Oryza sativa Japonica Group: one gene and its partner. The protein of the gene in region 1 interacts with the protein of each later gene in a pairwise test. Links are inferred from orthologs where the notes say so. Each region holds a gene or a part of one and is shown in the gene's direction. Other genes may lie near its edges.

Region 1 (5,051 bases):
CAAGGTTTGTGTGATTGTGATCTAGCAAAAGTGCCTGATTTGTGAAGGCACGTTGTGATTAATCGAAAGCTAGCCAATGTACAGAAGAAAAAAGAATGGCATGCTTAATCAATTGGGATGGGAGAGAATTTTAGTTCAGTGCCATATGTATGAGAGATTATCCCCTAAGTCGAAGTAATTTAACTTGATTCTAAAGACCGGAAAATAAATTCTGCAGTCCTTTGATATCAAGTAGAGTATTGCCATAATTCCATTATCAATATTAATTTCCAGCATCCAAAATTAACTTTACTATGAAAAAAATTTAGTATGTCTCTTAGGATTATCATTGAGGTCAACTCGTAGGTAATTTAGGTAGCTACGTTTATCGTGCAAATTAATTGTGCTTACTGTAGATCACTTGCTTTCTACGGGAGCACGTGCGGCTAGCTATTCCTAGGGCCATCTCTATCTTTTGGAGATATTTTTTTTTCTATGTCGTACTAATCTATCACTTTATAACTTTTATGTTAGGACGTTGAACCATGACAAATGACCAATTACATCTTGTAGCAACTCCTGCAATCCAATTCACACGGCATTGACAATTTTGTACTAGTATAATGATGGCATCTCTTATCGATCAATCTCACCTTGTTTCTGCTCCTATATTCCATCTGTTTTTTCATGCTTCGGTTTTGATATAAATCGAATTTCTTCAAGTTTAACCAAGTGTATGAAAAAAACAGTATACCTATTATACCAAATTAATTTTATGAAATCCACCATTGAATATATTTTCATTATATATTTGTTTGGTGTAAAAATGTTGCTCCTTAAACTTGATGAAACTTAAAGAAATTTAATTTTGAATAAACCAAGTAATCTTACATGCTGAAAACGGAGGAGTATATCTTAATCACAAACTCGTGGTATCATTATATGTATTTTATTACTTCATATTAGAGTAAATGCCATAATTAAGGTAGTCTAATTAATTAATTGGTGCATGGGAATTTTATTAGAATTTTACAGGAAGAGTAGTAGCTTTACTTCTGGTGACATTTGAAAAGGTTTTCTATTTTTTACATTCCAAATGTATACATATGATAATATTAGTATTAATTGATAAAAGTTCGTCACGCGAGTTACGGGGTGATTTTTCGACACGGACGCACCCAATACACTCCAATATGTCCAAAAAATGTTTCGGTATTTTTTGAAAATTTTTATTCCGGTAAAAAATATCGCACCCATATGTGCCAATATATATAGCAAGTAAAAAAAGATCCTTATTATAGGGATAATTTAAAAGTCAAAAAATAAAACATAATATAACGAAACATGCAATCAATCAAAATGTTGGGAAGGATACTGATTCTTAAACGTTTTGAAATTCATTACAAAAATATGCCCTCGTTCCTTATAAAGTCCAACAGTCATCTATCGACTTTTGTTAAGCATATTATATACGAGGACATGTTCCTAATTCTATCCTTAAACGAAACAGAAAACCTAAACAACGGTATCCTGTTGGAACGGGACACCCTTATATCTGTGATACCTAAGACCTGATACATGTGATACTCATACAAGAAAATAGTTAATATGTCTATCCTGTTACAACGGCATCCCGTTTTGTAACAGCCTCTAAACGAAAAATGTTTTCAAGTCCAGAATTATGATAAAATTCATCCGAAAAATCAATTAGCGCCGCATTCTGGTGGGCCCGACCACGTCACCCCCACCAGCTCAGCTAAAGCCGGAGAGATATTTCCCGACACCCCTGGCCCACTGACAAGCGGGCCCCACCCTCCCTCCACCTCGACGCGCGGGAACGAGTCCGAATCCGTGTCCCGTGTTCGCGCGCTCCGCACCGGATCTCATCTCATTCTCGCCGTCTTCTCTTCTCCACCACCTCGCTGCCTTCTCCCTCCTCCTCATTCCTGCATTGCATTGCTTCCGAGCTCAAAAGTCGTCGTAGACCCCCGCCTCCTTCCTCCTCCTCCTCGCGCTTCGATTTGGTTTGGTTTGATTCGGTTTGCGAGATGAAGGATGGTGGTGGAGGAGGAGGGAGGGGGCAGCAGCAGCAGTGGCCTTGCGACTACTGCGGGGAGGCGGCGGCGGCGCTGCACTGCAGGGCGGACGCCGCGAGGCTGTGCGTCGCCTGCGACCGCCACGTGCACGCCGCCAACGCGCTCTCGCGGAAGCACGTCCGCGCCCCGCTCTGCGCCGCCTGCGCCGCCAGGCCGGCCGCCGCGCGCGTCGCCTCCGCCTCGGCGCCGGCGTTCCTGTGCGCGGACTGCGACACCGGGTGCGGCGGCGACGACGGCGCGGCCTTGCGGGTGCCCGTCGAGGGGTTCTCCGGGTGCCCCGCCGCCGCCGAGCTCGCCGCGTCGTGGGGGCTCGACCTCCCCGGCGGCTGCGGCGGCGAGGAGGAGGAGGCCGACGACGCGTTCTTCTCGGCGCTCGACTACTCCATGCTCGCCGTCGACCCCGTGCTGCGCGACCTCTACGTGCCATGCGACCCGCCCGAGGTGGTGGTGGCCGGCGGCGGGCGGCGACTCAAGGGGGAGGCGCTCGGCCACCAGCTCGCCGAGATGGCGCGCCGGGAGGCCGAGACGGCGCACCCGCACACGCAGCCGCACTCGGATCTGAGCCCCCGCACGCCTCGCCGGACCTCCGCCGCGGCGAGCGGCCGCCTGCAGGAAAAGCAAGCTCCCCCGCCGTTGCCTCATGCTGCTGCGACGGCGGCGCCGCTGCCGTACACTTCACTGCTCATGATGGCGCCGGCCAACTGCACCGAGCTCATGGAAAACAACCGTGTTGGAGACGAAGATGAAAATGTTCTGTGGGAGAGCACCGCGCCATCAGTGCCACCAACCCAGGTAAAAAGAAGCAGAATTTCTTTTGAATAAGCACACATCTTCTGAATTACGATTGCATCTTCGCTGTATATTCAATGTTTGATTTTTGTTTTTGGGGTAATGGTTAATTGTTGCATTTCTGGCCTGTTCAATGTTTGATTAGTGTGAGCAATGTTAGTTGCATTGCTTAATTAGTCGAATTATTTGTAGCTTCACACTCATTAAGATCACGTGGTGTTAGGATCTTATTGGTTCACATCTAGCAATAGAACAAACTGTACGAATGGTGGTGTTGGACCCATCACTTGTGTAGTTCGTGCTCAGTTGTGCAGATCATTCAGATTGAGAGATGCGGTTATGATCTCTAATCTCTTGTGGATGAGGGGATGGGTAAAAGAATTGGATGTTTGAACCTTTCAAGAGAACTACCACTGTGGTTTTGTGATGAACACTATAGGTGCGAGTTATTGAAATTTTACATCTCTGTGCTTTTGTACATGATACTGGTTTTTCATGTGGTTTTCGTGTCCTGTCTAGTTCTATTTCCTAGTTTTTTTTCAACCACATAACAGAATGATTCTATTACTTTGAGTAGACATAAATTTATCCTTGTTGCCATCATGCACGATTTATGAACCGGTTCTTTCAGAGATTGCTTGCAGGCACAATAAACTTTCATGGACTCTTACTGCAAAAAAGTAAAGTATCATGGACTGGGTAGCATTGTTTTAGGGGCATTGAATGTGCAAATTGGGCTGATGAGGATGGGTGTTTTTTCCTTTTCAATAATGCAAGTTAGACAGAACTTTCTGAGGAGATGTTGCTATCACAATATGGAAAGTGCATTGTATGTAGATATTTCATACTACTGCTGTACTGCATTCTTCAGAGTATTTGCCCCTTCAGATATGAGATAGATCCTATGACCTGGGGTGTGCAAATAGGCTCTTGAATCATGGTGTGTTGATGCAATGAGCTTTACCTGACTTTTGGCTACAGACTGTCTAGCTTTAATCAAGCAAATAATTAACTTTCCGTAGGCATATATATACTAGTAGAACTGTCATCAAAGGAAAGAATGTTTTTCAACTAATCACCCTTGCTAATCCATCTCCTAAATATTTCAATGCTTCTTCTAGTTTACCCTGGAATGAGCTTCATTTCATGGCCTAAAACTTACGGTTCTCTTCTTGTTATCGGCGTGACAGATATGGGATTTTAATTTGGGAAAATCAAGGGATCACAATGAGAACTCTGCACTTGAAGTTGGATTTGGCTCAAACAATGGAGGCTTTATGATTAAGAGTTATAATGACATGCTCAAGGAGATTTCTTCTGGGACAACGAAGGATCTGGAAGATATTTATGACTCAAGATATTTTGCAGCTGCCGAAGATATCATGTCGACTAATGTCTGTCAGCTGTCATCGAAAAATGTAAGCCATAATCCCCTTTTTTCCAACGTAAAATATGCTTGCTGACTGTGCTTATCCAGCGCACCTAGCACACAATTCACCTAGCTTAGTGGTGCCAAGCAAGGTATTCTCATACTGCCTTGTGCTAGAGAAGAAGTGGCATCAATCCATGCATCTGATGAATCTCATAATTCTTGCAATTTTGGTATCTTTTGATTAGCACTGTAACTTCCAACAGCAAGGATAAAAGTAGTGTTAGAACACCTTATCTATCTGTATAGGATCCTCTTATTTGTTACCAAGCCTTACACTTCATACTAATAATCTATGACAAAGCCCAAGGTATCGATTTAAGCAAATCACTAACAACAGGTTTGCTTGAAGAAGCTGATGGACTTTCTGAAAAGGAACTTTTTGCCTTTTCCTTCTTAAAATGTGCATGCTCACGTGGACATTTGGTACTCCATCTGTGTGTGGCATGGACACTCTTTTAGTTGTTACCTGTTAACTTCCCAGTTGACCCCATGGCAGAGCTTTCGCTGATGTTGATGCGCCACTAACTTCTGCAATGGCTCCAGTGTTATGTTCCTAATTCGATCTTATCTTTTTAAAGGGGGGCTATTCTTGTATAAGTTGGCACCATGGTCCCATATGGTGTGAACACTTTTAGCTTGTTTCAATCACCGCGATATTTATGGACCACCGTACAGATCCTTGTTTCCTCCTCCTTTGGTCCACCAAGTCATGGACGCATCTTGTTTCGTTGCGAAACATTGAAAGGCCAATTTTG
Region 2 (3,836 bases), on another chromosome or scaffold:
TGATATTAACGGTTTAGATTATATTCAAGTATCAGGAAATAGCATTGTAGTGGGGCTCAGCATCCTCAGATGTTTTGGGTAAGCGCCGTGTCTAAATCCAAACGGTGGCTAGGACGATTCTAACACTTCTTTTTAAGTACTAATCAACAATTTACAATTGGTCTCTCGAAGCGTGGCGCGGTGTCGCCTATCTCCACCCCTCAACGAAAGTGGACTAGGATATTTTCCTCTCCGTTGATGGTGGGTTGCTTTACCGCGACGTAACCACGAGATAGTCACAGCGATTTATACCCACAATGTGGTCATCAACCAATACGGATCGATCTCCTTCTCATACCACGAGTATATAATATTCTACGATTGTGACCATATTAAAATTGCAAGGCCAGGAGAGGATGACGAGTAGTACCAGTGGTGGCAACGTACGACGTTCGTGTTGGCATAAACAAACGAGGGGACTAGATTCGATCGCCCAAATCTTTTAACAGCTCGTCAGCAACAAGCTGAACCCCAAGCATATCGTTCTCTCTAGCCACAGCAATATTTTACTAAACTAAACCGCAATTTGCAGTGCGACGAGAAGGGGATGGAAAGGATTTTTTAATTTGATCCTAATATATAACACCGTGCGTCTAGAATCGTCAAACGCTAAACAAACTCACAAGTGGCAGATGGAAATTTCAAACAAATAAATCCATGCCCCCAACTAGGAATTAAACAAATCCAACCCCAACCGAAAGGAAACAGCAATTCCATCGATCAGCTCCCATCCAGGACAGGCGAAAGAAGAAGACGAATTAAACACCAGAAACAATAACCAATCGTGACAACAAACAAAACCACGACCAGGGGAGGAAGTGACCGGCCGGTGGGCGCTGAATTCGACCCGGGACGATACGAGGTTTGTGTGGCCACCAACGCCTCTACGATCTCCCAACGAGCGGCTCCAATTAACCAATTTTAGGCCATTAGCCCCCCATAACCACTTGTGTCAATGTGTGAGCCTGATTTGATCCTGCTAATAAAGTATCCCAACTCCTCCATGGAAATCCCTCCAAGTGTCGACCACCCATCGATCCACCGATCCAACGGTGTACGTTTATGTGTGTGTGACAGCCACAGCGACGTTGCGAATCCTGTTTCGTTAGAGAGCAGGTACAACAGCACACTATAAACCAACTCTAAATATATTTTAAAAAGATAAAAGACTAGAGAGAAAAATAGCATACTACATATTTGTAACTAGATATAGCACGGACTTTAAAGACGCAGTTTGTGTGTGATAGGTGAGATCAGGTATTAGTAGTGTTGTATATAACTATTGTATAAATTGACCGTAGATGATTTCGAGCTAGTAGCTGGCTATCCTATTAAACTTGCTCTTACGAAAGATTTTCGTCGTCACATTCCGTTTCCCATCATTCCATGTACGCCGCTGCTGCACGTGTGATCGAGAGAAAATTCGCTGCTTTTTTGTGTGTTTGTGTGTGAGGCGGTGAGCTGAAGCTCGTCGCGCGCTTTAAATACGCGCGCCACGCCACGTGGGGTGGTTAGGCATCGTCACGGCGCGCGACGCGATCGGAGAGAGAGAGAGAGAGAGAGAGAGAGCTCGTGTCGTGTGGTGAGGTGAGGGGATGGGTGGCGAGGCGGAGCGGTGCGCGCTCTGTGGCGCGGCGGCGGCGGTGCACTGCGAGGCGGACGCGGCGTTCCTGTGCGCGGCGTGCGACGCCAAGGTGCACGGGGCGAACTTCCTCGCGTCGCGGCACCACCGGAGGCGGGTGGCGGCCGGGGCGGTGGTGGTGGTGGAGGTGGAGGAGGAGGAGGGGTATGAGTCCGGGGCGTCGGCGGCGTCGAGCACGTCGTGCGTGTCGACGGCCGACTCCGACGTGGCGGCGTCGGCGGCGGCGAGGCGGGGGAGGAGGAGGAGGCCGAGGGCAGCGGCGCGGCCCCGCGCGGAGGTGGTTCTCGAGGGGTGGGGCAAGCGGATGGGCCTCGCGGCGGGGGCGGCGCGGCGGCGCGCCGCGGCGGCCGGGCGCGCGCTCCGGGCGTGCGGCGGGGACGTCGCCGCCGCGCGCGTCCCGCTCCGCGTCGCCATGGCGGCCGCGCTGTGGTGGGAGGTGGCGGCCCACCGCGTCTCCGGCGTCTCCGGCGCCGGCCATGCCGACGCGCTGCGGCGGCTGGAGGCGTGCGCGCACGTGCCGGCGAGGCTGCTCACGGCGGTGGCGTCGTCGATGGCCCGCGCGCGCGCAAGGCGGCGCGCCGCCGCGGACAACGAGGAGGGCTGGGACGAGTGCTCGTGTTCTGAAGCGCCCAACGCCTTGGGTGGCCCACATGTCAGTGACACAGCTCGTCAGAAATGATACTTATGCAGAGGCTTTGTTTGATCTCTTTTTCTTTTCCCATTACAAAGAGTGTTAAGTAGAACTAAATCTCGTGACTAGCCTCTCAAGAATATTGGTGTAGTAGATTTTCTTTCCTTTTCTGTTTGAAAAAAAAGAGGTGGCTACCAATGCTGTAACTTCACATATGTGATTAGATGATAGTGCTATAGGGAACCATACATTGGTCTAATTAATTATTGGTGATTTGATTAGACTTGTGAACAAATTTGTGGCTCACATCATTCACATGCTGTTTGGTCGTGTGGGGGAAAATATCTGGAGTTGTGGATCATAGCACATGCACACAGAATAACAGAAAGTCATAAACTGTTTGCAAAGTTTAATGTTGTGGAGTCAGAGATCAGCATGCAGCCTTAGTGGCTTATGTCATCATGCAGAAGTTAGCAATGGATGACTTTAATTTGAGATTAATTCAGAAGCTTACAGTTTGCACTACCTTGTGTAATTTGAGATTTGACATTTTTATATTTGCCTCCTGTATTGGATATCAGAGCATGATGGATTGATATAGGGTTTATGACTTGGAAGTTAAAAGAGGAGTTTGCCCACACTTCCAGCTCCTAGAAATCTTTTTCACATAAAGGAATACACAATACACGAATATGTACTGATTAAGCAATGACTAAACATGAATTGGATCTCCAGCAGTATTTACTTATTAGTAGTTGAAATGTACTGTACTAGGAGTATGTGTTTTCTGGGTGAATGTGCTGATCTTGAAGACTTGATGAAGACTTGATCAAGTTCAGACTATCACTTTCAGAGTTTCCGTACCACCGAAGCACCGGCTTTCTCGTTCATTGCGTCAGTAAGATGGAAGAAGAGGCTGCTCATCGTCCTCGCTGAGTACAAATATGCAACCTCAAACCAATTTCCAACCCTAAACTAAACTAGAACATATCTTGAATTCTCGATCATTCACACGTATACATCTGATTCAAGTATCCTCCAAGATAAGTGGATTGTCCTACTGCTTAATGCTTCTCAGAGAAACAGGTTTGCTGCAGAGATATTATTAGTTGTTACCTGCACAAGTGTATAAATCATTCTTGAGTCTTGACAAGCACTATAATACTCCCTTCGTTTTATATTATCGATCGATTTGCCTTTTTAAAGATAAACTTCTCAAAAGTTTAATCAAGTTTATAAAAAAAGAAAAATACAAGAAATACCATTGACAAACATCAAATTCAATAAATACCATCAATGAGTGCAACTTTCATAAAACCATCATACAAACAATTTTATCCCAGAAATACCATCGTCGATAGGATTATGTCCATTCCACGTCGTTAAAATGCACACGGTTCATCCTATAGCACTTTAACGAAGGACTGCTAACGAAAACCTAACAGTGGTGACATTTCTAAGACAAAGTCGCTTGTACAATGGTATTTCATGGAACTCGTACTCATCGATTGCATTTCTTAGAAT

What was found. The genes of interacting proteins can lie anywhere in the genome.
Region 2: the proteins of zinc finger protein CONSTANS-LIKE 14 (region 1) and B-box zinc finger protein 32 interact in binary tests that used the Arabidopsis thaliana proteins (3 or more experiments, as listed by UniProt). The link is inferred for Oryza sativa Japonica Group from reciprocal best matches to the Arabidopsis thaliana genes BBX13 and BBX32.

The regions. Positions count from the first base shown.
Region 1 is NC_089042.1:26,940,572-26,945,622, reverse strand, and holds the start of zinc finger protein CONSTANS-LIKE 14, read left to right. Parts: upstream 1-1,914; 5' UTR 1,915-2,027; coding exon 2,028-2,867; intron 2,868-4,054; coding exon 4,055-4,282; intron 4,283-5,051.
Region 2 is NC_089040.1:28,116,678-28,120,513, forward strand, and holds B-box zinc finger protein 32, read left to right. Parts: upstream 1-1,552; 5' UTR 1,553-1,634; coding exon 1,635-2,360; 3' UTR 2,361-2,607; downstream 2,608-3,836.